3 linked regions of the Drosophila melanogaster genome follow. The protein of the gene in region 2 interacts with the protein of the main gene of each other region in a biochemical or structural test. Each region holds a gene or a part of one and is shown on either strand. Other genes may lie near its edges. The genes, in order: rho-4, spi and rasp.

What was found.
Region 1: of the proteins of spi (region 2) and rho-4, one has a biochemical effect on the other in vitro, tested with the Drosophila melanogaster proteins (3 studies listed by BioGRID).
Region 3: of the proteins of spi (region 2) and rasp, one has a biochemical effect on the other in vitro, tested with the Drosophila melanogaster proteins (2 studies listed by BioGRID).

The regions. Positions count from the first base shown.
Region 1 is NC_004354.4:11,595,188-11,605,658, forward strand, and holds the start of rho-4 (rhomboid-4), read left to right. Parts: upstream 1-4,650; 5' UTR 4,651-4,899; coding exon 4,900-5,139; intron 5,140-8,055; exon of another isoform or gene 8,056-8,149; coding exon of another isoform or gene 8,150-8,692; exon of another isoform or gene 8,693-8,707; intron 8,708-8,887; exon of another isoform or gene 8,888-9,007; intron 9,008-9,124; coding exon 9,125-9,486; intron 9,487-9,548; coding exon 9,549-9,891; intron 9,892-9,950; coding exon 9,951-10,259; 3' UTR 10,260-10,471. Other genes in the region: CG2533 (uncharacterized protein), read right to left, coding at 8,150-8,692.
Region 2 is NT_033779.5:19,575,716-19,586,186, forward strand, and holds the start of spi (spitz), read right to left. Parts: upstream 1,601-10,471; 5' UTR 1,471-1,600; intron 1-1,470. Other genes in the region: msb1l, read left to right, coding at 2,083-2,259, 2,325-3,293; Pmvk (phosphomevalonate kinase), read right to left, coding at 3,743-4,238, 4,342-4,415; hakai, read right to left, coding at 5,061-5,570, 5,641-6,188, 6,292-6,655; PCNA2 (proliferating cell nuclear antigen 2), read right to left, coding at 7,311-7,970, 8,105-8,212; CG10366 (uncharacterized protein), read left to right, coding at 8,631-8,837, 8,915-10,200, 10,268-10,471. UniProt on the Drosophila melanogaster protein: Ligand for the EGF receptor (Gurken). Involved in a number of unrelated developmental choices, for example, dorsal-ventral axis formation, glial migration, sensory organ determination, and muscle development. It is required for photoreceptor determination.
Region 3 is NT_037436.4:3,153,309-3,163,779, reverse strand, and holds the start of rasp (rasp), read right to left. Parts: upstream 1,601-10,471; 5' UTR 1,582-1,600; coding exon 79-1,581; 3' UTR 1-78. Other genes in the region: CG15812 (uncharacterized protein), read right to left, coding at 2,056-3,609, 3,681-3,683; ND-30 (NADH dehydrogenase (ubiquinone) 30 kDa subunit), read left to right, coding at 4,308-4,371, 4,432-4,506, 4,565-5,223; BtbVII (BTB-protein-VII), read right to left, coding at 6,194-6,580, 6,639-7,822. UniProt on the Drosophila melanogaster protein: Required in hedgehog (hh) expressing cells for production of appropriate signaling activity in embryos and in the imaginal precursors of adult tissues.

The sequences.
Region 1 (10,471 bases), on a different chromosome or scaffold from region 2:
TACAATTACTAATTAAATAGCATTTTAATTCGAATATAGTATAGTGATTGTTATTTATGTGGCATATACTTTGATTTTACAACTATAGTAGGAGTAAAAAAAAAGGAGCCGGATATCCTTAAAGAAACAGTTATATATGTGATTTATTTTTTAAATAGGCTTACCTAGGATATATTATATAATATATTAAATTAACAAAACAAGTTGGCATTTTAAATTAAAGCACAAATTGATTGTTATAAAAGTATTAAACAAAAAAAACTAGTCAAAAAAGAAAAACTTTCAAATAAATGACTTATTAAAAGTGACCAAATAAATAATATTCATTAACTTTTTTTTTCAAATTTAACTCCCTTTCAGCGTTGCCAGATTGGGTTGCATGCGGGATTTGATTATTTTTATTCACAAATTCTGGGTAGAGGGCCACTTGTGCTGCTCCGGCAGCTGGTCACACTGTACAGTCGCGCAGTTTGGTTTCTTTGGTGCGAGAAGACGGTTGGTGTTGTTATTTTTTTTTTAGTTCGCTCCGCTGTTTTTAGGTGCTACGCGCTTTATGGCCCGCTCTTAATCTTATCGCAAATCAAATCAAACCGCGGCCAATGAGCACCGTAATTTCACTTTTTGGCTAACGGTAACGGCACTTCCGCTCTCCGAATTCGATATTCAAACAGTCGCATTCCATCGAAAAGCGAAACAAGAAGTGGCCGTAAAAATGACCGTGAAAACAGTGAATCGCCAGCAGAGCCAAACGCCCACCCAACAACGGCAATTGCATCAGCAGCGGGACGTCGAGAATGGGCTCTATCCCACGATTTCGGACGGAATATGCCACATTATTATCGGATAGAATACAGGAAATGTAGGATTTAGGTAAGGGAATAATAAATTTCTAGTAGTTTTCAAGTCATTTTGGAGAGCACATAGTGGTTAATTCATGTACCATATTAATGCATGGGAAATTGGCGAAAAACAAACACTCAGCCGGCACTTCGCGGCACTCACACCTACACAATCATACGTGCGTGTGAATGAAGTTGCTTGTGCTTGTGGTGGTCTGCCCTGTTGCCGTCTTCTTCTCACCCTCGGTGAAAGTTGAGTTCGATGAATCATCTGAGCATCGATCCGCTATGGCGGCGATCTTCACTCTTCGCACTCACTCAACAGGGGGATTCTATCTACGAATCCATCAGTTTCGGCCGCTTCGATTCTAGTTTAGTTAGCACTCTCTTCTGGTTGATTTGGGCAGATTCATATATATATATGTATATAGGTATGTATGATCATACGATTAGCATACGAGATAAGCTGCCAATCCAATCCAAACACAAGGCGCTGGAAATCGGCATTCCATACACATTCCTACTCTCTTTTGGCTGGAAATCTTATCCGATTTCCCTCGCTTCAAACATCAAAATACTCTGTTTGGGTTTCCCGAGCGTTGATTCATTAATCTAGCCATGATATAACAACCAAAATAATATCAAGCTATAGAATATATTTTTTAAAGAAAAAAAATCAGTCTGCGGGCATCCAGTTCTCAGCGAGAACTTAGCGGCATCCAGCTAATGGAGGAGACAGTAGTGGCTTCGCCACAGCAGCCATGCCTTCGTCGTTCCGTACGTCTAGCGGGTAGGATGCGTTCGCAGAACTATAGAGCCATTCCCAAGGTTATGAATTTGCGGCGCAGCACGCGGCTGGCGGGAATCCGGGAACATGCCACCTCCGTTGTTGTGGAAAACGGGACGCGCCTTCAAAGTGCAGTCCAAAAGAAACGCACGCGAAAAGTGAAACCTGCGCCCAAGGCCTGGATGGCCAATAATACTAAATGTTTACTGGGCCATCTTAACAATGGAAACGTTAAGCAATTGCAGGAGATTCCAGGGATCGGTTCAAAGACCGCCTCTATTTTGGCCTTGCACAGGTCAGTTGACATACGTTCATTTGCGTTTTACCCAATAACCCTTAATCCTTAATCCACATTTTTCAGATCCCGCCTGGGTTGCTTCAAGAATCTAATTGAAGTCAAATCCCTGCCCATTTGGTCGGGAAATAAATGGAAACGATTTTCTCAAATTAACTGTCTTGACACTTGATACAATTACTAATTAAATAGCATTTTAATTCGAATATAGTATAGTGATTGTTATTTATGTGGCATATACTTTGATTTTACAACTATAGTAGGAGTAAAAAAAAAGGAGCCGGATATCCTTAAAGAAACAGTTATATATGTGATTTATTTTTTAAATAGGCTTACCTAGGATATATTATATAATATATTAAATTAACAAAACAAGTTGGCATTTTAAATTAAAGCACAAATTGATTGTTATAAAAGTATTAAACAAAAAAAACTAGTCAAAAAAGAAAAACTTTCAAATAAATGACTTATTAAAAGTGACCAAATAAATAATATTCATTAACTTTTTTTTTCAAATTTAACTCCCTTTCAGCGTTGCCAGATTGGGTTGCATGCGGGATTTGATTATTTTTATTCACAAATTCTGGGTAGAGGGCCACTTGTGCTGCTCCGGCAGCTGGTCACACTGTACAGTCGCGCAGTTTGGTTTCTTTGGTGCGAGAAGACGGTTGGTGTTGTTATTTTTTTTTTAGTTCGCTCCGCTGTTTTTAGGTGCTACGCGCTTTATGGCCCGCTCTTAATCTTATCGCAAATCAAATCAAACCGCGGCCAATGAGCACCGTAATTTCACTTTTTGGCTAACGGTAACGGCACTTCCGCTCTCCGAATTCGATATTCAAACAGTCGCATTCCATCGAAAAGCGAAACAAGAAGTGGCCGTAAAAATGACCGTGAAAACAGTGAATCGCCAGCAGAGCCAAACGCCCACCCAGCAACGGCAATTGCATCAGCAGCGGGACGTCGAGAATGGGCTCTATCCCACGATTTCGGACGGAATATGCCACATTATTATCGGATAGAATACAGGAAATGTAGGATTTAGGTAAGGGAATAATAAATTTCTAGTAGTTTTCAAGTCATTTTGGAGAGCACATAGTGGTTAATTCATGCACCATATTAATGCATGGGAAATTGGCGAAAAACAAACACTCAGCCGGCACTTCGCGGCACTCACACCTACACAATCATACGTGCGTGTGAATGAAGTTGCTTGTGCTTGTGGTGGTCTGCCCTGTTGCCGTCTTCTTCTCACCCTCGGTGAAAGTTGAGTTCAATGAATCATCTGAGCATCGATCCGCTATGGCGGCGATCTTCACTCTTCGCACTCACTCAACAGGGGGATTCTATCTACGAATCCATCAGTTTCGGCCGCTTCGATTCTAGTTTAGTTAGCACTCTCTTCTGGTTGATTTGGGCAGATTCATATATATATATGTATATAGGTATGTATGATCATACGATTAGCATACGAGATAAGCTGCCAATCCAATCCAAACACAAGGCGCTGGAAATCGGCATTCCATACACATTCCTACTCTCTTTTGGCTGGAAATCTTATCCGATTTCCCTCGCTTCAAACATCAAAATACTCTGTTTGGGTTTCCCGAGCGTTGATTCATTAATCTAGCCATGATATAACAACCAAAATAATATCAAGCTATAGAATATATTTTTTAAAGAAAAAAAATCAGTCTGCGGGCATCCAGTTCTCAGCGAGAACTTAGCGGCATCCAGCTAATGGAGGAGACAGTAGTGGCTTCGCCACAGCAGCCATGCCTTCGTCGTTCCGTACGTCTAGCGGGTAGGATGCGTTCGCAGAACTATAGAGCCATTCCCAAGGTTATGAATTTGCGGCGCAGCACGCGGCTGGCGGGAATCCGGGAACATGCCACCTCCGTTGTTGTGGAAAACGGGACGCGCCTTCAAAGTGCAGTCCAAAAGAAACGCACGCGAAAAGTGAAACCTGCGCCCAAGGCCTGGATGGCCAATAATACTAAATGTTTACTGGGCCATCTTAACAATGGAAACGTTAAGCAATTGCAGGAGATTCCAGGGATCGGTTCAAAGACCGCCTCTATTTTGGCCGTGCACAGGTCAGTTGACATACGTTCATTTGCGTTTTACCCAATAACCCTTAATCCTTAATCCACATTTTTCAGATCCCGCCTGGGTTGCTTCAAGAATCTAATTGAAGTCAAATCCCTGCCCATTTGGTCGGGAAATAAATGGAAACGATTTTCTCAAATTAACTGTCTTGACACTTGATACAATTACTAATTAAATAGCATTTTAATTCGAATATAGTATAGTGATTGTTATTTATGTGGCATATACTTTGATTTTACAACTATAGTAGGAGTAAAAAAAAAGGAGCCGGATATCCTTAAAGAAACAGTTATATATGTGATTTATTTTTTAAATAGGCTTACCTAGGATATATTATATAATATATTAAATTAACAAAACAAGTTGGCATTTTAAATTAAAGCACAAATTGATTGTTATAAAAGTATTAAACAAAAAAAACTAGTCAAAAAAGAAAAACTTTCAAATAAATGACTTATTAAAAGTGACCAAATAAATAATATTCATTAACTTTTTTTTTCAAATTTAACTCCCTTTCAGCGTTGCCAGATTGGGTTGCATGCGGGATTTGATTATTTTTATGCACAAATTCTGGGTAGAGAGCCACTTGTGCTGCTCCGGCAGCTGGTCACACTGTACAGTCGCGCAGTTTGGTTTCTTTGGTGCGAGAAGACGGTTGGTGTTGTTATTTTTTTTTTTAGTTCGCTCCGCTGTTTTTAGGTGCTACGCGCTTTATGGCCCGCTCTTAATCTTATCGCAAATCAAATCAAACCGCGGCCAATGAGCACCGTAATTTCACTTTTTGGCTAACGGTAACGGCACTTCCGCTCTCCGAATTCGATATTCAAACAGTCGCATTCCATCGAAAAGCGAAACAAGAAGTGGCCGCAAAAATGCCCGTGAAAACAGTGAATCGCCAGCAGAGCCAAACGCCCGCCCAACAACTGCAATTGCAGCAGCAGCGGGACGTCGAGAATGGGCTCTATCCCACGATTCCGGCCGAGCGACGATCGCCCCCCTCGCGTCCGCAAACGCTGCGACAGGACACCATCGATATGGAGGAAATACCGCTCAATCAGACGAACAGCCAGGAGCCAGAGGATCGGCGCAAAATGCACGAGATATTTGACAAGGTATGTAGGACTTATAATACTCGCAATTCCCTTCCCCAGCACAAGTGGCAGCTCCTCCTAAGTATTAGATCTTTTCTGGTTTGTAGAGCCAGCTAACCAAGTAGTAGCCATGGTAACTATACCTATAAAGGTATTACTGTTCACACGGTGTTACAACTTAGCACTATATCTTTAAAGTAAATCTATGATGATTTAACGTTGATTTAATAGTTATGCCACATTATTATCGGATAGAATACAGGAAATGTAGGATTTAGGTAAGGGAATAATAAATTTCTATTAGTTTTCAAGTCATTTTGGAGAGCACATAGTGGTTAATTCATTAGTTAGAACCAGCTACGACTAATTATCCCATTTAAACTGGCTGGTGGTAGGCAACAGAAGGTTAATGCTGAGATCTTGTGAAATTGCACCATATTAATGCATGGGAAATTCGCGAAAAACAGAAGAACGACTGTAATTAAAACACACAGCCGGCACTTCGCGGCACTCACACACACACACTCATACGTGCGTGTGAATGAAGTTGCTTGTGCTTGTGTGGTCGGCCCTGTTGCCGTCTTCTTCTCACCCTCGGTGAAAGTTGAGTTCGATGAATCATCTGAGCATCGATCCGCTATGGCGGCGCTCTTCACTCTTCGCACTCTCCCAAGAAAACCCCACCTTTAACCCTTCAATGGGCCGGCGGGCGAAAACCGACACGATCAGATGCTTTTGTTTGCAAACATGCCAGTGGAACAAACTTAAGGTATACATTATTAAAAAAAAACCTTGTATCTTGTGGTGATTAATAAATACGTGAGATTTGATTCCCGTTTAACATTAATGGGTTAAGAATTCGATTATAGTGCCTAAATAATCAACTGCTATATGTACTTATATCATACAAGCATAATTACACTTTTCGGTGTATTTAACCCATCACCGCTTGTCTGTCAGTCAATTTTGCACTTTCGCAGAATTCCGTATCACATTTTATAAGCTTTTTTTCGCTGCAGTTTGTTTTCTTAAAGTAGAAAAATCGTGTGTGCTGCAAAAAAAAATGGGGGGGAGGGTGGTTGCCTACTGTTGGGGGACTGAGTTTTCTTATCGTGACAGAGGGTTGGGGGAAAAAGACCAGCAAAAAAAGAAGAAGAAAAACCGGTTATAAATTATTGTTTGTTCGCTTTGAGTTCTGCCTTTGTTGTTGTTGTTGCTCTTGCTTTATTCTTGGTGGCGTTAGTCACTTAACCCCCAACTGACACCCACCGCCCACCTGTTTGCCCGAGTGTTACCATTATCAATTTAACAATTTGTGGATTTCGTCTTTTTTAATTCTACCAGTGCGATTGCCTCAACGTGCAACGTCCTCTTGATTCACCATTTGTTTATAGCCATATAGAGTGTGTAGCGTTCATATCGCGTTCAATGTACCCCGGCAACAAGGGGATTCTATCTACGAATCCATCAGTTTTGGCCGCTTCGATTCCAGTTTAGTTAGCACTCTCTCCTGGTTGATTTGGACAGATACGTATATATGTATGTATATAGGTATTCTAACCATACGATTAGCATACAAGATGAGCTGCCAATCCAATCCAAACACATTCGATGCCGCTGGAAATCGGCATTCCAGACACATTCCTATTCTCTTTTGGCTGGAAATCTTATCTGAATTCCCTCGCTACAAACATTCAAGTGGCCAAAATACTCTGCTTGGGTTTTCCGAGCGTTGATTCAATAATCTAGCCATGATATAACAACCAAAATAATAGCAAGCTATAGAACATATTTTGTCAAAAAAAAAAAAATCACCAATCTCAACCAACATTATTCGTTGGAAAGTTCAACTTGAACCCGGAGGGGACTGTATCATTTTGATATTTTTGAAATATCATGTTTGATATGTCACAGATAACAGTCTTTCTGATATGGGAAAATAGCAGATAGATGACCATTTTCGTTGATATTTTTATTCATTGAGCTGTGCAAAAGAGTAAATCTTAAGTTGTCTGTTGGCTAATATAGGAAAGTTTTGGAACTTCAGGTGTTCCAATGGTTTTACAATTAACTTTTTCCGAAAACCATATTTTTTACAAACTGACCAAGTGGCTTTCGTGTGTTCCGAACACACTTGACGACTATGACTAAGTCCCAATCCCCGCGAGACTCCGTTACCGCTGGCAGCTTATCGCCTGGTTTTGATAATAACCAACTTTTTGGTTTTGTTTTTTCCCCCTGTTCTGTTTTATTTTAAGAACACCTAAAGGTGTAAAATATTAGTTTACGACTGGAAAGGAGGATACATATTTATGTGCATGTACATACATGGGCACCTATCTAATTGTCTATAGTATATGCCAATGTCTTTCCTCTTTTTTTTTGCGTGAATCTAACTTTTAAGTGCGAGCGTTGACTTTTCGCTGGGTTTTCTTTGTTATCCCAGTTCCTAGTTATTTACTTTACTAAATACCTTAACCATACTTAAAAGGTCAGTGCGCATAGCTTACCTATGACAAATGTTTTTTATGATCGAAAACCGAGAATACAAAGCGATAAGACAGTAACATCCATATAGGGACTTTCTATTGGCGAAATGGCAATTGAGAATTTCGAACTTCTGAAAGGAATAGGTGACAAATGTTTTTTTTTTAGCAAAATCCTTTTGTATTTACCAATGGGGATTATTGACGTTTTGCAAAAACCATCAGTTGCGTTTAGTTCACAATAACTTTGGATGCCTTTGTGCAACTTCATGTGACTTTGTTTCGATTTGTTTTCGATTAGCCCCGTTTTGGATTTCTAGTTTCTCGTCTCGATCTGTGGCATTTATTCCTGCCCATTTATGGCCACTTTTTGGTCCGACAGCGTTCGCGGCTGTGTTGCAAGTGCTGATGGTGATGCAATCAAAAAGGAGGAAAATCACTCAACAAACATAATAATATGTGGGTACTTGTTTATTTGTGAACTCATGCTGCAGGTTTGAGTGTGTTACGCTATGATTTAGAATAGTTCCTCGGGTGAATGAGATTCATTCGGAGTCTAAGGGAAGGTCAAAGAAAGTGGAATTTTGGCTCTTGGGGGCGAGGCAACTGGTGGCCTGCTCCTCCTCTGGCGCATCCACAGCATCGTGCCAATCCTGGGAATCGTGCTCCTCCTGCTCCTTCTGATCCGTTAGCTGGAGCAGACGCATCCGCAAGCGCTGCTCTTCCAGTTGAATGACTGAAGGCCTAGGAGCAGCCACTTCGCGAATAAGCGATGGCATGGCGGTCGTCCAGTTTGGCAGCAGAGTTAACCCCGTTGCCCTGCCCTGCCGCTCCAGACGCTGCAACTGGCGGCGCTCCATGGCCATCAGTTCCCGCTTGGCCCGGGCCCGCACCTGGTCGTCGCTGGTCGTGGTGCAGAGACTCAGGGCCGCAAAGATGCCGGCCATGCCCAGGTAGAGAACCAGTACGGTCACAATGCCGGACGATTCCTGCAGCGGCTCCTCCTCCTCCGCGACGTCGCATGTGGGCGTCGGTGTCCAGCCAAGCCAAGAGGTCACGTGGCGGGTCATCTCCATCAGTTGCGACATCGTTCTCGGTTGAATCTTGAGGCGAAGATACAAATATATATAATATATGTATGGTTTATACTAAATAATTATGTCATTAACCGATGACACCAAGCAAATGGTAGTTTCTTTACTTCCTTCTAGGGAAATGTATTCAGTAGTTTATTTTTATTACAGCCTAGTTTTAAAAGGTAGGATGAATGCGCTGATATGTACCCAATTGTAATCGGTGTTTCCAAGATGTTGTATTTCAAGATTTTTTGGATTCGGTGCGGGCCTGCCCGACCACTCGGAATTTCAGCTAGGTACTGAGTGTTCGAATCCCTAATGTTTTCGAACCCCCATGACGCTTTAGTATATGGCCTACTGTGTTTAAATGTTGACTTACCCAGATTCTATGTGTGAGCTTAATCATGATGACTAACCAACCATATGTATATGCCTCTCACACAGCACGACTCTGACAGAGATGGGCTGATCAACACGCACGAGCTGAAGGAACTGATCTCGGATGGCTATTGCCGGGACATTCCCGCCTACATCGCCGACCAGATCCTGAAGCGCAGCGATCAGGATAACGACGGCCACCTGGACTTCGAGGAATTCTATGCGATGTCCCTGCGCCACAAGTGGATGGTGCGCAACATGCTGACCCGCTACTGTCGCTACGTTGTGCCGCCACCGAAGCCCTTAGAGGGCGATGAGCCCGACGGTGCCTACGAGAAGCAAATGTCCATCTGCCCGCCGCCGCTCACCATGGTGCTCTTCTCGATTATCGAGATAATCATGTTCCTCGTGGACGTCATACATTTCCAGTGAGTAGTGATGGTACAATTGGTTGTATATGATAATAACACTAGTAATCTGCTATGTTCAGGGACGATCCCAACTACCAGGATCGCATAGGCGAGAGCACAAGTGGACCAGCGGCCACCCTGTTCATCTACAATCCGTACAAGCGCTATGAGGGATGGCGCTTTGTTAGCTACATGTTCGTTCACGTGGGCATCATGCATCTGATGATGAACCTGATTATCCAGATCTTTCTGGGCATCGCCCTGGAGCTGGTGCATCACTGGTGGCGCGTGGGTCTGGTCTACCTGGCTGGCGTGTTAGCCGGTTCCATGGGCACCTCGCTAACCAGTCCTCGCATCTTTCTAGCGGGCGCATCGGGTGGAGTATACGCACTGATCACAGCCCACATTGCCACGATAATTATGGTAAGTCTTTGTTATACTATTTGATATTATTCCATAATTACCTTATGGTCGCCAAACAGAACTACTCGGAAATGGAGTACGCCATTGTCCAGCTGCTGGCCTTTCTGGTCTTCTGCTTCACCGACTTGGGTACCTCGGTGTACCGCCACTTGACCGACCAGCACGATCAGATTGGCTATGTGGCGCATTTGTCCGGTGCCGTCGCCGGTTTGCTGGTGGGGATCGGTGTGCTGCGCAATTTGGAGGTGCGGCGATGGGAGCGCATTCTCTGGTGGGTCGCCGTCATCGTTTACTTTGCCCTCATGACCACTGGCATCATCATACACGTGTTTGTTCCCGACTACTTCCCAAAACAGGAGTACAACTAGCCCCATCACTAGCTCTAGCCCTAGCCCTAACCCTTAACCATGTCCAAAGTGCACTTCGATATTGAGCCGAGGTTGCAGTACGCACAGTACTATATATAGGATTTCTTCTGACCATGTGCCTATGCCAGCTGCAAAAATAATTTATTTTTTTACAACTTGCCATGTCAGCTTCATTCCCAATCCGAAAGTGGTGCAAGCATGTCGTACGTATT
Region 2 (10,471 bases):
CGCGGATGATCGTAAGTGGGAGATATGTACGTGGGATAAGAGCGAAAGTAGACGGATATCCGATTTGCAAAAAGATGTAGTATTAATTTAAAATGTTTAGAATAACAAAAATAAGCTAACAAAACTATAACCATGACAAACTATGACGATAACAATATATTTGCTATGCGTTACGATTTACAAACTTTGAATACTTTTTAAAAGATGCTTATTTAGGATCGATCCATTGTGCAGCGAGATGAGCGGAACGAAAGGCGAAAGGGACGCTGGTTTGCGTCTCCGCTGTACGCCAGACAGACAGACAGACAAGACGCCGCAATATTATAAACAGGAAATGGAATTTACCCACACGGATGCAGCGCGGTGAAGTGTGTGTCTGTGTAAATTGCTGATGAGCCGACAAACGGACGTGGTGCTCAATTGACAGATGAGCACGAGAGAGACAGGCAGAGCATAGCACACCGCCGAATGAGCGAAGGAGAAGGCCAGAGCGCGCTTCAAAGTTGATTGAAATCAATATACGTACATACGTATGTATACACACATAGCGTGCCGGTGTGAGTGTGCTAAGACCGCTCGTGGAATGTTTGAAAAACGCGGTCAAGCGACGGGAAGAGCAAGAATGTTGAACTCTGGAAGTGGGAAGAAGTTTCTGTAAATAGAAGCCAGGTGGAAGGGGCTTTTGCACCTGCCACGCCCAGCAGCCCCTGGAATCAATTAACATGTTGCACAACTGCAGCGGCTCCTATATACATAGTTCATATAATGTACTTGTGATACAGTGACTTACGCACACAGAGGTGCAATTGCAGATGGCGACGAGTGTAGCGTGTAGTTTTTCTCGGAAATGAGCAATGAATGAAATTCGGTTGTTTTCAGTACTCACACGCACACGAACGCAGATGCATACACTCGCAATTTGGAGCAAGAGAGAAAGTCTGCACGACATGCGCTCTGGCGTTTGTGTGTATACAATTTGCTTACTTTTTGCGCTACAATTGGCAAATAAAACAATAGCGCAATTTTACGCAGCACTTTAGCTTACTAACCCACATTGATGGCTCCACAAAGCGAGCAAAATAATTTGTCTGCCTAATTGAAATAAAATAAATAAAACTAAGCAGAAAAAATGTCGGCAAAAAACAAGGCGCAGCTGTATTGTGCGCTAGTGTGTGTAAAAAGGAGACGGCCATAGAAAAAAAAAACACATATACACACAGGAGAATTTACTGCTGCTTGCGGCGCCCACACACACATACACAAAAACACTCGCCTATTTAGTACAGCAACTGCGTAAATTCAATAAAAATAGTCATCTGGAGTAAAAAAACCCAGTTTCCTGTCTTCATTTCCCTTTTTCCGTGAAGGTACACAGTCACTACTGTTATAATTTAGCACACACACTCGCGCATTTATGTATGCATTTGGGTTGCTTTCATTTGGATGTTTATCACTTACTTTACCACTTACTTTGGGATTTAGCTCTTCGTTTGTCGCACTTTTTTGGCCTGTTTTCATGCCATTTTCTTTTTGAAAAACTGAAAGAGTACAATTCGTTGTGTCGCGTCTTAAATGAACAAGTGTTGCCAGACTTTAGCTGGAGGGAGATGACACTATCGCGAGGCAGCATAAAAATCAGTGCTGTAAAGCGAAATTAAAAAAAATATCTGATAACTTTAATATTAGTTTATTTGTTTACTGAATTTTACATTTTCTTATGTACTATAAATAAAAATCAATTCATAAATTTATTTGAGAGGAGTAAAACAAGAAGAATCCACCTAAACATTACAGACTTAAGTTCTAAATATCCCAAACGTTGTTTAATTTCTATTTATATTTGTAACGATTAGTTAGTTATTAGTAATAATGAAAGAACTAGTGATAAAATCCATTTGTAATCACTGCTAGAATTGGCTTGAAAATAGCTAGACTGACGTTAACAATACTGTTACCAGTTGGCATTTCCTGATCCGGCAACTCCACACGACGCCATTTCAAAACAAATGCGCGGCAACGATTTTATTTTACCCCGCAACATTTAGTGAGAAGTCGCAAAATAAGTCAGATTATTTGATTAAAATGGGAGCAAAGGCAACAAAAATGGAAGGTGAATATCTGCCGGATACGCCGACACTAAACAAAATGCGCCTGGCCAGCGAAAAGCGAGAACAAATGGAAATGACGACGCCGAATCGAGAGCAAAACAACGCTTTGCTCGATCCTCGATCACCAAATGGCTGCCGCACGCCTTTAACCGTGAGTTTATAGGCATTAGGTATTTTTTGATATTACTAACCCTAGTAATGATGGCTGCGTTGTAGTTCTTGCAGGCGTCAAAACCTCGCGTTGAGGAGGAGGAGCAGCATGTGACCACCAGTGAAAATGCCTTCTCCATGCTGCGAAAACGTTTGCTCAAGGGCTTCTCCCTGAACGATCCTCGCTCTCCTCAGCTGAATCGCACTCCACTGGTCCTCGATGAGGTTCGTTCGCTTAATATGGATGACACATTCGCCGATCTCTTCGTGGACACCAGGGTGGGTACAGCACAGAGAGCAGTGCCTGCATCACCGCCCCAAGTGGATTTAGAGGAGAGCTGCGATAGCTTCGGCACACCGCCGTCTGCTGCACACAACAATATTTCCCTGGAGATTGTTTCACTGCCCTATGATCAGGAAGAAACCTTGCCTTGCGAGCAACAGCTGCTGCCGTATCAGGAGCCGAATCTGGAGCAGGGCCAGGTGAAAATGGCCACGCCCCCGCCAGAACAGCAGCCCCATGGTGATCCCCGATCGCCCAGCCTGGGCGTCGATCGCACACCCATCATCTTCTGCGACGACGAGGAGGAGGAGGCACGCGAGGCCCAGATGCTGGAGCACATCCTGGAAACACTGACCCTGAATCTCAGCACTGGCAGCAGCATGGCCTCCTTTGTCGCTGGCGAGGAGCAGCTACCAGAAGTGCCGTCGAACAAACATTTGGAGCGAGTGCGTTTGGGTCACAAGCGTCGTGTGCCACCGCGCAAGCCCGCCAGAGCCAACAAGCCAAAGATCTATGTTGACCAAGAGGAGGGGTCCCCGGTGACCGGAGGATCCATTACGCCCAAGACAAACAGTACCCCCCTGTCCGCACAAAAGCGAACTCCACTCAGTTGCGTTAAGAATAAGCCGCATCTGCGATCCCGTTCAATGGAAAAGGATTCTAAGAAGAATCAGATTCCGCCCGCGCAGAGCTTCAACGATCAACTGCGGATAATCTCTGGCACAGAGGGATTCAGCGGACCCGTTTACTAACACAGCTTAGTAGCTACTATTGCCTTATGTCCATCAAAACCCACCAAATCATAGTCTTTTCTCACGACACATACTTTTATTACTCATCTTTTAATAAATCATTTTATTAGTTTGCTTGCCAGTACATTGTGCACATAAATTGATGGATGCAGTTTGCTCATGAGTATTATTCTAACATTTGGAAACCGGGCTATTTATTCCTGAAGTAACCTATTACCGATAATCAGCGACATATAGTTTGTATATCCATTGAATCTATTAAGTCTTAAACGTTGCAAGTTAGTAAAACCGCCACACAAGCTCTATTTCGTTACCAAGAGTATTTACTATTAGGTACGTAACTTCATTCTTGTCTAGTGTATTGCATTAACTACGCTATTTGTGACCGGAATACGTGATATATCAAAAATACATTTGTTCAAAGCATGGTGAGCCGAGAGGTCCAAGCTCTATCGATACTGCAGCTGCAGCCTATCCAGCAGAATGTCGATGGCCTCCTGGTCGAGTTCCTCGTCGTTGGCCAACACCACGTCGAAGCCGTCGGCCAGATCATCCAGATCGCACTCGGAGGGAACATCGTCTATTCCTGCGGTAAAGGTCCATCCCCGTGCAGACCGCGTTTCTGGACGGGATGTTAGACGCAAGGTGATGACTCGTTCCGGCCCGTAAGTCTCCCGGAACCACCTGATGTCGTTCTTGCGCCGCACATCGCTGACCAGAATGTAGGGCGTCTGCTGGCGACTCAGCGCCTCCTCCATGGCCACGCGGCAGAAGTAGCCGTAGTCCTGGGCCCGCACCTCGTCGCTCCACACAATCATGTCGCGCCGGTACTTCTCCTTGTAGGGTCCATCACCGAGGAGAGCGTCCAGGTCCAACTGCAGCTTGCGAGCCCATTCCGACTTAATGGGCTCTGAGATTCGAACGATACACGACCGGGAGCCCAATCTGGAATGGAATTGGATTTTATTTGTCTGAATATTTCTGCAGCAAGCAGTGCAAATTTAACAAATTGGCAAGATTTCTACGACTAGCTATGCACTGCACCCACCTCCGCTGCAGCCTCTCGGATATGTAATCCTTGCCGCACTTTCGCTTGCCGCTGATGAGTACAATTTTCATCATTTTTCTGGCGCAACTTTCACTTTTGCTCGCCAACTTCTTTCACAACCGCTGCTTCTCCTGCTGCTTCTGCTTGTGGCCTCGATTTCCTAAGTTCTACGCTGTGCTCATCAGATACTGGATGTGGTTGTGTTCACCCTGGGCCCTGCCACTTGACTCCGGCACTGCGGCCTGTTGTGTTTATGCTAATGCTCCATTCGAAGTCTGTGCTCCAAGTCGCATTTGTTTACCTTTTGTATTTCGCTGGAACAGCAACCAGCTGGAGCGTATCGTCATCGATAGGCGGCCAATCGAGCGGGCTTTTTGAATTTCATTCAGCTCGAGTGGAAACCGTACCGTCATCGATTGGCCGCCAATCGGGCGGGATTTTTGAATTTCGTTCAGCTTGAGAACCGCAAAGGTATTCATAAAATTGTTATCCTGATTTGTTCGCCACGATAACCACTTCACTACTACATTAAGAATTAAGTTTAGCCCAAGCTTTAAAACCGGAGTAGCATTTATTTTTTGGTTCGGGTTGGCCTAACCCCGTAAAATATCTTTAATAGTGTTCAGTTCAGCTTAACATACACTTGTTCACTTAATTAAAAGCCTGCGTGCCTGCGTTAAAGCGTCTACCCTGGTTACTAGCCCCTCGCTTTCGTCCCCCTATCTGTAGTATTGCGACTGCTGCCAGTTGCCACTCGAGCCACCAGTTGGCGCGTCGGTGGAGCCTCCAATCAGGGCACCTGGGCCAACAGCGGAATGGCTGCCACTCGGATTGGCGGGCTGTGCTGCTGCTGTTGCCCCACCGCCGGGTGGCCCAGAACCCGGATTCCCGGCCGCACTGCCAAAGGAGGCGAGCACGCTGCTGTAGTAGGAGGCATCCGCCACCGACTCGGACTGGTGGGGCGTGCCCTTCTTGAGCGTGTGGTGCAGCGAGGCCTTGCCCTGGTGACATTCCTGCGCATTGGCATTGTTGATCCTGGTCAAATTGGCCAGCGTGAGCGTCGAGTGGCCGCCGTGGATGGCGTTTTGGGCGGCGGCGGCGGATCCTGGTGGCGGTATACTACCAATACTACCGATGTTACCGACACCGCCGGTCAGTGGCAGCCGCGACAGGACGGGACGGGACGCAATGGAGGCGGAAACGGATATGGGGACAGACGACTCGGAGAGCTGCAAGGGGCAAGCGGTTGTTTTTTTATAGACAGGACAGCTTAGTTTAGGAGCCATAGCTACCACTCGCCTTGCGCTGCTTGTGCAACTCCAGGCCCAGACCGACGCCGCCCAGATCCGTCATTTTTGGCTGCTCCGCCATGGCTGACAGCTGCGGCTGTGGCTGCAACGGTGGCGGCTGCGGCGCCACATGTCTGTGATTGATGTGCGCCTGCAGGTCGCGTTGCGAAAGGTATGTTCTACGGCAGCCGGAGCTGCCGTAGCGACTGCCGCCGTGCGTGCACATGAACACGGTGCCCAGGCCACTCTGCTCCACGCGCAACACCTTGTCCGTGCAGCGGGGACAACTCTTGATGGGCTCGGCGCGGGCGCACTTGAGGCAAAATACATGCTTGCAGGGTATCATGCGGCCGTAGACGAGGATCGGCTTGTCGCACTGATCGCAGCAGTGGATCATCGGGTTCAGCACCTTCTCGCCGATCAGGCTCACCTTGTGGTTCCACTTAAGGCGCAGCATCGGCTCCGGCGGTCCGCGCGAAAGCGTGGTGAAAGTGGGCGCCTCCAGTTGCGATATGTCCGCCTCCATGTCGACTGCGCGGGCGAGAGATAGCGAGATAGCTTTGTTCAATGCTTCAAGTTTGGATACCAAGGAATTGGTCAAGCCAAGATGTTAATCAATTTAACTATCTTGGACAACCATTCAATAGGGGAGGAGACTCACTTGTTTGGCTCATCACGGGCGGTGGCACTTGCTGCAGGACCTGTGGCTGTTGCGTCGCTGGAGTCATGTTCCCGCTGGCGGCGACCGCTCCTAGCGCACCGTGCGGCAGGGGCTCCTCCAGAGCGCCGGGCGTTTCCAGTTCGCCGTCCTTGTCGAGCTCCTGCATGACCGAATCTTCGGAGGCGTCCAGTCTTCCCGGACTGTCCTCCAGGGCTGCACAGCTGCTGGCCGCCAGGGCTGCGGCGTCGGCGATGCTGCTGTCGTCGATTTTCTTGCCACGACCGCGTCCTCGGCCACGTCCGCGCCCGCGAGCCCTGGTGCCACGCCCTCGTCCGCGGCCGCGCTTCACTTCCTCGGTGTCCATTGTTCACTTGTACTTGCGTGGGATTTTATGCCGGTTTTTAAGTTTTTCGGTTTTTGTTTAGCTCCGCATTTGCGTTTGGCCAGGGTTGTCAGCTGTTCCCACATACGTGCAGTAACTTAGGGTGACCAGTCTGCGCCTAACAACACTGGCCATCAAAAGGTCCGGCATCACTGGTCAGTTTAAAATACAATATTTTTACTTGTTTAATTTTAATTTTATCTGTTTTTCAATTATTTTTAAACTAATTTGAATTTAATGAATGTAAAAAAAAACATAAAAAAAAACAATAATTATAAGCATCTATTTAACCGTTCTTGTATCATATTAATAGCTTACTAATTTCTTTTGTAGCTTCAACATGAAAAAACAAAAGTATTCTGAATAGAAAATGTGAGATCTACATTAAGATAACCTTAAAAACTTAATAATAATTAATAACAAGGTTTAAAATTAGTTTTTTCGTATATAAATTTGAATTTGTAAAATGTTTTTTTAATTACAATTAAATAGTTTTTATTACAAGTTATATTTTTATACTATGCTTTAAAAAAAATGATTTTTGGTATTTGTTGCCTAAAAATATCGTTTATCCCCTTTCCTTATGCTTTAAATTGCGCTCGAATTTATGCAATAACTGAGTTGAGTAGTTCTTCAGCTAGAAATCGGGGTCATTCACCTTGGGTGCAAGGTAGTATCGAATGTGGCCGTAATCCTCGATGGGATACTCCACCAGGAGTGGCCGCTCGTCGGACAGGTAGAGCTTGACGCGATCTGCCAGCGGAGTGGCCTTGGTGAAGGTGTTGAGGTAGCGACCGGCGAAGGACTGGGTCACGGGCTCCTGCACCTCAATGCTCACGTCCATGGCGGTGCCCGCACTCAGCTGAATGTTGGCCGTGCCCAGATCTCCCTTGGCCAAGAACCTGATGCCCTTCGAGGAGCAGGCGATCGTCAGGGACTCGTCGAACATGCTCATGTCCCGGCAAATGCGCGCGAACTCTGACGACGGCAACTGGATGAAGCAGGTGTAGTCCTTTTTCGGAATCTCCATGTGATCCTGGTCCAGATTGAGGAGCTTCAGCTCGTAGTCCGCCGTGCGCTCCTTGCCATCCGACTCGAAGCTGAGCGTAATCTTCTCCGGTCTGTCAACGGCCTTAATGGTGACCGCATCGTCGCTATTGGCGCACTTAAGCACCTTGCCCAGGGATTTCAGATCCAAGCCCAGCGAGACATTGCGATCGCAGTGAAACTTTTCAAAACAATCCGAAGCCAGACTTAGGGCCACCAGCGAAACGTGGGAGTTGTCCATCGATTGCAGCTGGAATATAGAGTTGTAAAAGCTTTATTTCTTATCTCAACTTTTCATTTTCAGTCCCAAGTCTCAATGGAACTACTTAACAGCTTTTATGGGAATTCGAAACAAAATGACAGATGGAGGGTTATTCTCTTCACCTCCAGACCATTTTCACTGCAGTCCAGCGTTCCCTGGGCGATGATTTCCTTTAGTGCATCGACGATCTTCTTCAGCAGCAAAGTCTGACTCAAACGCGCCTCGAGCATTTTTCCAATTTTCAAAATTGACAATCGCTGTCCCGTTAAATTCACAATTGGAAACAAACAAAATGAAGCCAGTCAGCTGTTTCGCTGCAAGTGTAGAGATGCCGGACTGCTGCGGAGTTAAGAACAAAGCTTGTTAGATTAGTTTCGGTTGCGGATTTAAGTTCATTTGATGTCTGATGATGAAGCTAGTGAACATAGATCTTAGAATTTGACTTAAAGCTGTAGGTTAATCCTTTTCTATTTAAGGGTATCCAATTGAAATCACTTAATCCGACTGATCTGGCAGCATCTGCAACACTGGTTCCGGCTCCAGTTCTAGTTCGAGATCCAGTTCCAGCTCGGATCCAGCCATCCAATCCAATATGTTTACGCTTTATTTATTTATTTGTTTATTTATAACCAACTGCTGAGCTCCCCGATGGCCGCCGCGCAGGTGGAGATGCACGCTGCTCCGGCGGCTCCCCATGTCGATCGAAATCCCAGCAGCGACTGGCGACAGTGGTGTCGCCTGTGCGCCAAGGACGACGTGCAAGGCAACTTGAATGTGTTCCTCAAGAACGAGGATTCCGGCGAGGCAGCCTCCATGGAACTGGCCACCGCCATTGGCAAGTACTTCTGGGTGAATGTGAGTGCGCTCCTCGTGGCTCCTTGGATTTCCACAAGCTAACCAGCTTATCTTGATTTCTCTTGCCCCATCATCAGATAACTCGAGGTGAAGAGCTGCCGGAGACGATATGCAGTGAGTGCCTGTCGCTGGTCACCTCGCTGGTGAATTTCTCGGAACGGATTACCCGCGTGCAGAAGCTTTACTGCATCCTGCAGAGCACGCCCAGCCAGGAGAGGCCAAATCTCCACGAGCTGCGCTCGAAATTTGGTTTGCTGGACGAGGAGACGCAGACTGAGGTGCACTATGTGGACAAGAAGCCGAAGTTGGATGAACAGCTCGAGTTTCTGCCAGAGGAGTCGCCTTACGAGCTGGCAAACCCACTAACGCCAGAGGAAAAGCAGGAAAGCGTAGATCAGGAGCAGGATCAGCCGACGGAGGAGCCAGATGAGCAGGATGCCGACTACGAACCGAATGAAGATCGTGTACTAATGAGCCTCTGCGATGTGTATGGCATTCAGGAGGATAACTCTTCTGCTGGCAGCTTGGATGGCTCCTCGCCGAGTACCGAAAAAGCTGGAGAGGATGCAGCAGACTCTGAGAAAAGACACCAGTGCAACGAGTGCTTGCGAAGCTACGCCACGTCCAAAACCCTGCAGCGCCACCTGCGCCAGGATCATGGCCAGACTGAGCCCACAACCGAGCAGCTGCAATGCCCGGATTGCCCCAAGAAGTTTCGTCTACACTACCAGCTGGAGAGGCACATGAAATGGCACGTGCCCCTGCCCAAGCGCAAGCAGTACGCCTGTAGCAGTTGCGACAAGAAGTTCGCCACCAGTGCATCCGCCCAGCAGCACGAGCAGTACATGCACCTGGATGAGCGGCCGCGGCCGGTGATTTGCGAGCAGTGCGGTGTGGGTGTGCACTCGATGAGCGCGCTCAAGGAGCACGTCCTCAAGCACACGGACTACGCCCCCTTCGAGTGCGAGGTGTGCAAGAAGTGCTTTAAGTCGGCCAATCGTCTGAAACACCACAAGGAGACGCATGATCCGCACAAGTACATCTGCCCCGAATGCGGAATGCAGCTGAATTCGCGGACCACCTTGAATCGCCATCGACTGGTGCACACGGATCAGATGCAGCACAAGTGCGACTACTGCGGCCGGGAGTTTAAGCGCGCCAAGGCGCTGAAGAATCACCTCATCCTGCACACAGGACTGAAGCCTTACTCCTGCGATTTTTGCGACCGCACCTTTGCCAACGGCTCCAACTGCCGCACGCACAAGAAGAAGTCGCATCCCGAGGAGCTGGCTGCTCAAGAAGCGGCGGGCGGCGGCAGGTCGCACAACAGAAATATACCCAAGCTGGAGGCGCTCAAGGCATTGTAGGTTAACCAAAATCGTACATATAATGACAATTTCTAAATGATTCCATTACAATTCCGTTTGTAGCACCAAGAACAAGGACAATCTGTCGCCGGTGGCCACCAAACAGAGTGGCTGCTTCGCCTTCGGCAAAAAACCGAGGCCAGCCACCAAGGATACTCCAGCTTCGAATCCCGCCGTCATCCAAGATGCTCAGCCTGAACCAGCGCCTGATCCCGGAGGGGAGAACGCCACCCAAGCTGATACCCCAGCTGCGGCTATACCCACGTT
Region 3 (10,471 bases), on a different chromosome or scaffold from region 2:
ATTCTAAAGCCGTCTTATAATACAAGTTCGTTCATAAGTAGTCAGATTCACGTAAATCTAGACAGACTTTTGGCGAGGTCAAAAAGTTTTGGTCTTGGAGCGACCATCCGACTTGGTCAGGAGCAACTCAGAGCATTGAAAAAAACAATAGCTGCAGAAGCAGAGTGCCACATAGTTGCCCACTCCACTAAGATAGGCGCCACGCATTAGAAAGTCTCCAATCTCCTGTCCGCCGATAAAGTAGACATTGGAGAAGGCGGCCGGAATGAAGAGCTGGGTGGCCAGCATTGCGTACAAGCGCTGAGCACCCACGGCTCCCAGATGACGCTGTGTCCACCGCTGGTACTCCGGCATCGCGGTAAACGTCTTAAACACCTTCTCTGCAGCCAGGCAGAGGAAGTTCAGAATGCTCCAGATAAGCACATAGGTGTAGCATCCATGCCAGACGAACACAAAGGCGAAGGTCAATGCGGTGGCACCGAACTTGGCCGCTGCCGATGATCGCTTGCCGCACAGCTCTGCGTAAATGTTCTGGAAAAGGAATTCGTACAGACCCTCATCGAAGTACTTCCACATGTCCGAGTAGAAGTGGATGCGTCCGATGCAGCGCGGTCTATTGGGCGCTGGGATGCCATCCTGCACAGCAAAAGCTATTCCCAAGCCGTATGTCACCACGTAGTACAGGAAAAAGAACTGGCCCATGAAATAGCCGGCGGAGTGCTGCCAAAACACCGAGTCCATCATCTCCACCATTCGCACATCCCGCGACATGTAGTGTATATAGAAATAGTGGAGGGCGCACTGCATCACCAACCACCATATGGCGCTGCGCAGGACTCCTCCGACGAATCCCAGCCAGTTTTGCACTTCATCCTCCCTCCGGGCTGCGAACCTCTGGTAGCTAATGATCGGCCCATAGGTCAGACAGGGAAAGTACATGGCGTAGCCCAGATACTGGACGAGGCTGTATCTCGTAAGATCCTCCTGCTTAGCTCCAATCTTGGACAGGGAATAACTGCATCCGCGAAGCACACTCCAGGACATTGTGACAATCACCAGGACGTATTCCGTGTAACCAACGCGATCTGTCCACCAGACATTCTTTTGCATCACATTGATGCACAGTATCCAGCCAGCGGACAAAAGCCACACGAGAAATTTTAGTGAGAGCAGGGAAACGATGTAGTAGCTGGCTATCAATGTGACTAGTAGTACCATCGATGACCAGTCCAGGTTTACACTAAGAGCCAAGGCACAGACGCCGATGAATCCCAGACACTGAAGGCGGGGACGTTTCCAGCGTATGAATCCTTGGACAGCCACGTGCAGCAAGTAAAAGGGCCAAAAGCTGACGATAAAGTCTCCAAAGTTCTCCAGCTCATCGTTGCTGTCATCCCGACGCCGCTGGGAAAAAGGATACAAACTCCAGCCCTCCGGAAACTGGAACTTTGCCTCCTTGACTATGTGATCCCGCAGCCCATAGATCTTGTACAGGCCCACAACTATATACGCTATATAGACCCCGAAGTAGACGAAAATTTCGCAGCGGGTGAGCAGGGATCGGTCTGGTAACCTTGACATCACTACACCACCGATTTGGACTCTTCATTCCGGGAAAAGATTGCGATAGGGATGTGAAAAACCAGCGAAAATATCGATATTTTTATACCCTTGCTGGAGAAGAGTACCGGCATTTTAATTACATGCATGTACATATTTCTCTCATGTTATAAATTTGACCCATTTAAAAAGAAGTTTTTGTTAATTTTTGGTTGTATTTAATTAACCAATTACGATGGAGTGAACAATAAAAGAGCAGCAGTTAAAATGGTAATGGTATCTACATATAGAACTAAGTCTACAAAACTACCTCTAGAATAGCATCTCTTGCTGCTCTTCCGGACTCAATTTTGGTTTCATCAGGAGATAGGATATGGTTGATGTACATACACTGATGGGACAACATGAAGTTAAACCCTATGCTTATGGCTTCTTAATGGTAACTTATTGATTCCAGCTGAACGTTTGTAAAACCAGAACTCCGAAGGCTTATTTCTAGTTTAGCATATCGTCTCCGTAATTGGCCTTCAATTCCTTCTTGACCTTTTTATTCTGGCTCGTCGTGCGTCGCTGCAGGTGTCTCCAGAGCGTGCTCTTGGGGATCTCGAAGAGGTTGGCCGCGTGGTTTTGGGACATTCCCTCATTCAGGCAGGCATGCACCGCCTTGGCTAATTTGTCGCGCAGCTCATCCTTGGGCGTATTGTCGCGCTTTCGGCAGGACACGAAGTTGGGCAGGCGTCCCTGGGCGGACAGACGAACCTTGTGTCTGTGCAACGTGGACATGGGGATTTGCAACTCACTGCTGATGCTCTTTAAAGAATGTCCATTCTTCAGTCGCTCGTAGGCCTCTTGCAGGGATGGTCGTTCCCGATTGTTTCGCATGTAGGCGGGATTAGTGCGCACGCGTCTCCAGAGGACTGTCTTGGAGATATCAAACCGGTCGGCGGCCTTTTGTAGGCTTAAGCCCTCGATGATAACCGCGTCGGCCGCCAGATCCAAAGCATCGTTGATATCGTCTTTTACCTCACGTTTCAGAGCTGCGAACTGCTGGATTCGCGTTGGCTTGCAATCGGACAATCGTTTGACAGCCTTCGCACTTATGGGGCGACGGATTCGCGTCTTTCCCCCGCCCAACTTGCGGGGCTTATCGTCTATTTCCTCGTCCACAAGTTGGTCGTGCACGTCGTCATCGTCGTCCATTTCAGTACCAGCTTCTAGTTCCATAAGAGGATCGGCTTGCGCGAACTCCTCGTCGATCATTTGTGATTCGTGCTCCTCAGAATCCTCAGCAAGGTCCGCATCCACGTCATCATCGCCCAGGTCCACTTCAGCGCCACTGGTACCCGTTTCATCTGCCTCAATTTTGGACAAACTCGATGCTGACTGCGTTATGGTGAAAGTGCCCGTGTTCTCGGTGAGTATAAATTGGTTGCCGCTGGAACTTCCGTCCATGTGCTCGATGGAGTAGGTGATCTTCGGCGGCTCGTAGACATCAATGTACTCCAATGACCGACTGGAATGGCTGGGCTGGTGTTGAGAACCCGCGAGTGTAGTGGCTGGGACGGAGACCATCGGATGTGGCTCTTCCTCGTCGTCCAGCAGCTCGGCCTCAGCGATTTGGAGTCCTGTAATGGACTTGGCCGACTCCACGGCTAACGAATGGTTCTCTACATCGACACTGGGTGGACTAGCCGATGGATTGCACTCAAAGCTGATGGCAGATTTGATGCCGAGGAGGTTAATGGCCTCCAGGAACTCGGGGAGCGACGCGGAGGGCAGGCTAGTCTCGCCCATGTAAATGAAGGACAGCATGCACTCCAGCAAATCTCCGCGGATGTCGGGCAGCATTATGGTTGCCTCCTGGCCGCGCGGAACGTCCACCAGGAGGTTGCGCATCAGTTCGCTGCAAGTGCTTAGCACGAATAGATGGGCGCGCACTCGAACGCCGTCCCTGGAGGCCAGCACCACCTCGCAGTGCTGATTATCATTACGCAGCGAGCGCTGGATGTCCATTATCGTGGATGAGTGGCCCATCCACTTAAGATGATTCTGCAAACGGCGACGATTGTAGATTTAAATTTCACTTATCCCGGGGATTTGGGAGGACGCGTTTCACTTACCATCTTGTTGTGTTTTGATTTCCAATTGATTTCCAAGAAGTTTTCAATTCTCGCAATTCCAAACGCAACGCGTTGTCACAGTTTTCAGCCAGGGTAGTCGAATGCACCTAAGATCTCGGTATTTCGGTATGTTTTCCATGAGATGTACTTCAAGGAACGTGTTGGTATTTTTAATGAAATAATAAATGAAGTAGTAGGGTACATTTCTTTTTTTTAAAAATCATTTAACCAAATATTCTAGAAAAGTTTTGTGGTTGGTAATGAAGAATAATTGTAAATGTTTTCCATCTGCTGTACTTCAAGGAACGTGTTGGTATTTTTAATTAAATAATAAATCAAGTAGTAGGGTATATTTATTTTTTATATAAATCATTTAAGCAAATATTCCAAAAAAATGTTGAGGTTTTTAATGAAGAATAATTCGGTGTTAACGTACACGAAATACAATAATGTATGTGCGGTATTTGTGTTGTACCGAAATTGTCAAAATACCGAAGTAGGGCTGTCGAGTAGATTAATTTGGCGCACTGACAACCCTAGGCTCCAACAACTATATTGACATTTTAGCATTACATAAATTGTCAAAAACGGAGCAAATTGTTGAATTTATATTGAACAGTTTGTAGAATGGCGGCCTTAATCAGGAATCTGGGTGCCCGTGCCGCAGTCGCCGCTCTGTCGGCCAAACATGGTTGGTAAATGCCTTGCCTCTAGAGCTTCAACTGATCTATTCTAACCCTTCAACAATCAGTGGTGCCCGCTGCTGGATCCACTGCTCTTCGGATGGCCAGTACAACGCCAGTGGAGCCTAAGAAGGCGGATAAGCGTAGGTAAAAGTCGACTTTATCGCGGTGTCAATTACATGTAAGACATTCCACCCACAGCCACTGTCCGCCAGCCGGACGCAGTCGCTCGCTCGCATCTCTCCGATTTCGGGCGCTATGTGGCCGAGTGCCTGCCCAAGTACGTGCAGAAGGTGCAGCTGACCGCCGGCGATGAGCTGGAGGTGCTTATTGCGCCAGAGGGCGTGGTGCCCGTGCTGCAGTTCCTTAAGGATCATCATCAGGCGCAGTTTACCAACCTGGTTGACATTGCCGGCGTGGATGTGCCCTGTCGCAAGAACCGATTCGAGGTGGTCTACAATTTGCTCTCGCTGCGCTACAATTCGCGCATCCGCGTTAAGACCTACACCGATGAGCTGACTCCTCTGGACTCCGCCTGCGAGGTGCATAAGGCGGCCAACTGGTACGAACGTGAGATCTGGGACATGTACGGCGTGTTCTTTGCCAACCATCCCGACTTGCGCCGCATCCTGACCGATTACGGTTTTGAGGGACATCCCCAGCGCCGCGACTTCCCGCTGTCCGGCTACGTAGAGCTGCGCTACGATGATGAGAAGAAGCGAGTCGTCTGCGAGCCCTTGGAGTTGGCCCAGGAGTTCAGGAAGTTTGACTTGTCGGCGCCTTGGGAACAGTTCCCCAACTTCCGCAACGCTAATCCCCCCGCCGAGGTAGTTCCGCCACAGGCTCCAGCCAAGAAGTAATCCGAAGTCGGTTTGTTAAATGGTAATTAGATCAATAAAACGTGATCACTATGAGATGTTTAAACATAATGGAAACGACGGTCTACTTAGCTATTTAGCTTTCTTGGCTCGTTCCTAAACTACTTCCACATGAAAACGCAATTCGTATCAAACCAGAGGGTCACAAGTATTTATTGATTTCCGTATTGTTTACATACATGGTAGTTTACACTGAGAATTAAACGAATTCGCCGGATCTAGCACATCCGAAAACCTCCTCGAGGGCCATGTGCATATACGTACATACATACATAGATATAAAACGTTAAGTAAAACAAGTGTGGGCCACTAGACAATTCGTGCGCCTGCGCAGCGGTGCCCGGCGAAAGTACAGGTGCAAGGACGTACTTAAGTTTAGGCCGGAGCGGATTGGGGTAGTGGTAGTGATAGTTGTACTTGGTGAAAACCTTATCGTAATTCGAGCTTCGAGCTGCACCGTCGTCAACGTTTTATTTTTGTTAGATTTTAGTTCGGTTTTTTTTTTGTACAAGAACATACACATATAGTACATAGATACACACACATAAACATATTATTACATTTAGCGATTTAAAAAAGTTTTCACCCCGCATTCCGACGGTGTTCCAAAAGATTTTCGTTACTTTACAATGGCAGCGTGCATCTGGGCACGGCTCAAAAAACAATTCTCTGGCGCCACCTGGCGCCCTCTCTCGCAGTCCATGTGCCCGGACTCCGGGCCGGATGCACAGTGGGACTGGGACAACAAATGAAAATTTGGGTGCAGTTCGTGAGCGCGCGTTTTTCGCGCTTCCTGCTGACAAAAAAACAAATTCGACAGACGGCCATGTGTGGACCATGTTCCAGAATGAAGGACGAGCAATGCGTGGCTTCTAGTCTGATGGAGGTCAACCTTTCGGCGGCCGTCCTGTCACAAATACAAATATGCGGGCTTGGTCACGGCAGCTCCAGATTATATCGATTCCGTCTTGGTATAATGACGAGCTGCACCCGCTCCACTGCTGCTACTGCCGGCAGAGGAGACGTACGGCGATGCCTTGCCACTGCTGCTGCTCCCCGATCCCGTCGTGCTGCTGCTCAGCTGATTATCGCCCGCTGCCGCTCCACTGGATGCAGCGGCCGCCTCGTTGTTCAGCCGCTCGTGATACTCCTGGAAACAGGGCACAATGCACAAATTCGTCTGGCACTCCGGGCAATGGTATTTCGTTTTGCGGCGCAAAATGCGTCCATGCCCGTCGATGGTGTTCCAACAGAAGTTGCAGCCCAGCGCCGGACCCGGTCGAATGACCGGACAATGACTAGAACGCGGATTCTCGAGAGTGATGATCTCCCGTTGGGTCTGCAACAAAGGTAAGTCAGTGTGAGTGATCTTTCGGTCGGGTACACATCCAACTCACCTGAGGTGAAGACACCGATCGCTGCAGTTCCTCGTTCTTGACACGCAGCGTGGGCAAATGCTCAAACGAACTGCTCATGGTGGCCTGGCCGGGATGCAGATGGGTGCCAGTGATGGAGCCCGAGGCAGACTTGGAAGTCCGCAGCCTCGAACCGCCTCCGTTGGCGGCCTCTGCTGGATTCTTCCCCGCCCGCTCCACGACTTGCGATCTGCTGATGGAGGGAGAGTGCGGAGACCTTCGCTCGTGTGCCACATCAGATCCAATGGAGAAAGTGGGCGACAACGGATGCCTACTGGCGCTGTTCTGTAGCCCCGCATTGGGTGAGGTAACCACAGACACGGCCGCCGACACTGTCGACGAGGAGCCGGGACTGGCATTAGTGGGCGTTGCCGCCGTTTCACTAGAAACCACTGGACAGGCCACTACGCGCGTGGGCACCAGGTATTGCGAGGAGCCGGCCGGCGGCGGAGACCCCGAGGCGTAGATGGACTCGGGCAGTGAGATGTGGTGCGGATGGTGAAGCGGCGCCGGAGTGACATAGCTGGCATTTGAACCCGACAACGGATGCGAGTATTGGCGGTGCAGCGGGGCAAACGGATTGCTGCCAGTTGCCATCGCGGAACTGGATCCAGAACCGGATCCGGCCATGTGCAGTGCGGACTGGCGAGGCAGCAACGGATCCGAGTGCTGCTTGATGAGATAGGGAGTGCTGGACGGCACGCTGAGCAGGTGCGGCGTGGAGGGGGCCAAACTGGGTGCCGGTTCAGAGGCATGGCGCTCGATCCGCGGTGGAACGGTTAGCAGGTGATGATGGTGGTGCACAGCTGACTGATGGTGCAGATGATGCGAGCCCGTCGTAGAGTAATCTCTGGCCGTGGCACTCGTGGCGCCCGCAGCATTGAATGGATCAAAGTCGAGCGTCGTGGCAGCCGTATCCGGGGATATCTGATTCGTGGACGAGATGCTGTCACTGTCCCGCTTCACCCTCGGCTGACGGGTGAGCACCCGGTTGCGCTTGGTGCCCATCACCGCTGGCGAACTGGGCGTACCATCTGGATCACATTCGACGGATCCGACGCCTCCGATGCTGAAGGAGCGCTCGAAGCTTCCGCTGCCACCGCTGCTGCTGCTCGCAGCCCCCAGCGGAGGATGTGGCGGATGAGGAGCATGCGCCGGACTGGGTTCTGTAAGAAAATAGTGTCAAAGGATTAGTTTTTGAACCGGCCTAAAAAGCGTGGATACGGTTGCCCAAGATTCATTATGAAATATGAATATTGCGAATATGTTGGGTCCATCATTTCCAAATCATTTCAATTGAAACTATTCGCAACCGTGTCCTTCTGAATGGGAAAAGTGAAATGAAGCCAGGGGAGCAGGTGGAGTATGTTGTAGTTTTGAAAGTTTATTCGTTTCTTGCACATCGACTACAGTCTAGAATGTTCGTTCCATCGCGATATTGGATTCGTTTGTGGCGCGCATTACTTGGTATGGTACATGCAACTTATAATACAATCGGTTCTTTATGCACTTACGCTGATTTAAATAATTTATATATATATTTAACACACACATAACTAGCGTAGTTATTGGTACTTTGCAATTGTAGGAAACAGAGTTAGTAATATTTGCTTATTGTTTCGGCTATTTTCGCATTGTTTCATCCGTGTTCTGTTCTGATCTATTCTGTTTGGTTGTTTCGTATTTTTCAGTGGTTCTGTGGTCTGGGATCGGATCGGATCGGGTTGGCTTGGGATCGTAGGGATCCTTCGTGGTATATGATGCGTGTGGGCGAGTGTACAGTAATAAAAGTCCATTATCAAAGTTTACGTTACTCTATGACTTCTAACAAATCACGCTTAGTTCTTAGTATGCCTTGACACAATATAAAAAGTTCTCTATTAGTACAATATTCATATGAATCGTTTAAAAAAACACACTATACGTAATCGTTATTCAAAACCGGAATCGTTCGTATCTCCGCCTTCCGTGTTCGTTTCTGTTTTGGTTTCCTATTTGCCTTTAGCTGCAGTCTCCGTTTAGGATTTTGGGTGGTTACGAGTTATCTTTAAGTTTCGTTTGTTTGCGTATCTGTATCTTGTAGTCCGTCACCGATCTCGTCGCTTCGCTATATGTACATTGCCTATGTACAAATAAGTGCAGAAGTAAACGAGTCCCCCTGGAAAACGCCCCATTCTCAGATATGTTGTCGGATTTGAAAATATATAACCTAGAGTCGATCACCGTAGGACCAGGTGCCAGCGCAGCCATAAAAACAGGAATTGACACCTTGAGTAACTCAGAAGGAAATGAAAAAATGTGTGGATACATTCACAAATATAAATATATATACATATATATTGGTTGGTACATATTTATCATACATATCCGGTTCGCTTACATGCTCCTCCTCCTCCGTCGATCTAGTATCTTAGTCTATTGTACGCGGTCCAGCGATCCTCGGATCTCCCTGCTCTTGACATTCTGCGGCATGGAGTCGGGAGTCGCCAACGATTACCTTATGCTTCGAATAGAGTGGACTTGCGTCACTGTACACAGAAAATGGTCTCACATTGATAGGAAGCTAAATATAATGCTCACGGGGAGTTCCTACATACTGGTATTTGCTATTGTAACACAAGTGCAGAAATTAAATTCTTTTCGAAACGAGGAAGAAAACTTATTTCTGATGCGCCAGAGCCTAGCAAACCGCAGGATGTGGGAAATTTTCGCCAGAAATTGCCAATAAATCTCATTTTGTCCTTAATGTTTATCATTACGATTACAGATAGAATTTTTGGTTTAGTCCATTGCTTGCTTGCATTACAAAAAGTGGAATATGGAGCGGATTCCGCAAGGTTTGTGTCGGCTGCTGGCACACAGCACCACTTTTTAGCTGCAGTTGCTTACAAATCATTTGATGTTCGCGATTAACACTAATAAAATTTTATAATTTATGTACAATTACATTATTCTTTTACACGTAATATAGCTATATAGCTATATATATATATATATATGTATGTATATCGAAGATCTGCACTACCGATTTCTTAGTTAACAATCGTAAAAATGTAGGGTTCAAAACGTTTAGCTCAAGGAATTAGGTTCTATGAAAGTATTATTACAAGTGCGGCCGGCTTGCCTGCTCTCTTAACTCGCTTCGCTCCTCGCCGTTCACTTCCGCCTCACTTCCTTGCGATCCTCCTGCTTCGCTTAGCTCAGCTCAGCTCAGCGCAGGAATCCGATTCCACTTCTGTGCCATCCTGGGTCGGCATATATCGCTGCATATATTGCCACTGTGCCGTACAAGCGGTCCGCTATATATACAGTAGATTGCTGCCGTTTCTCTAATACCTGTATCGATCAATTTGGGGGCTCGGTGTCCGGACCTACGACTTGTCCAAGTACTGCAGGCCCGTGCTGGTCACCGTGGCCACCGGCGGTGCAGCCACCGTTACGAAGTTGTTGATGAGGAAACTGTGCGCCATGCCCATTGGAACGGAGACGGGCATGGCTGATATGCTCAGGGATTCCGCTGGCTCGCTGGCGGCCATTACGGCGGCTGCCTGGAGCAGAGTGGCCGTCCCCGCCTGGCTCGAAATCGTATTCTATATTGAGTTGAAGTTAATACTCTGTAGATTCATGGCGGTGGTCGGATTAACGTTGATGGTGCCGGTGCCTGCGCCCGTTCCCGCACCTGCTCCGCCGCCGGTGGCTTCGATGTAACGCTGCCGCGTCATCGAGTGCACATTGCCGGGCGAATCCATGTATCGAGGATCGAACAGGCTCATCACCCCGATCGCTGGGTGCGAGTTTCCTCCGGCCGGCAAACT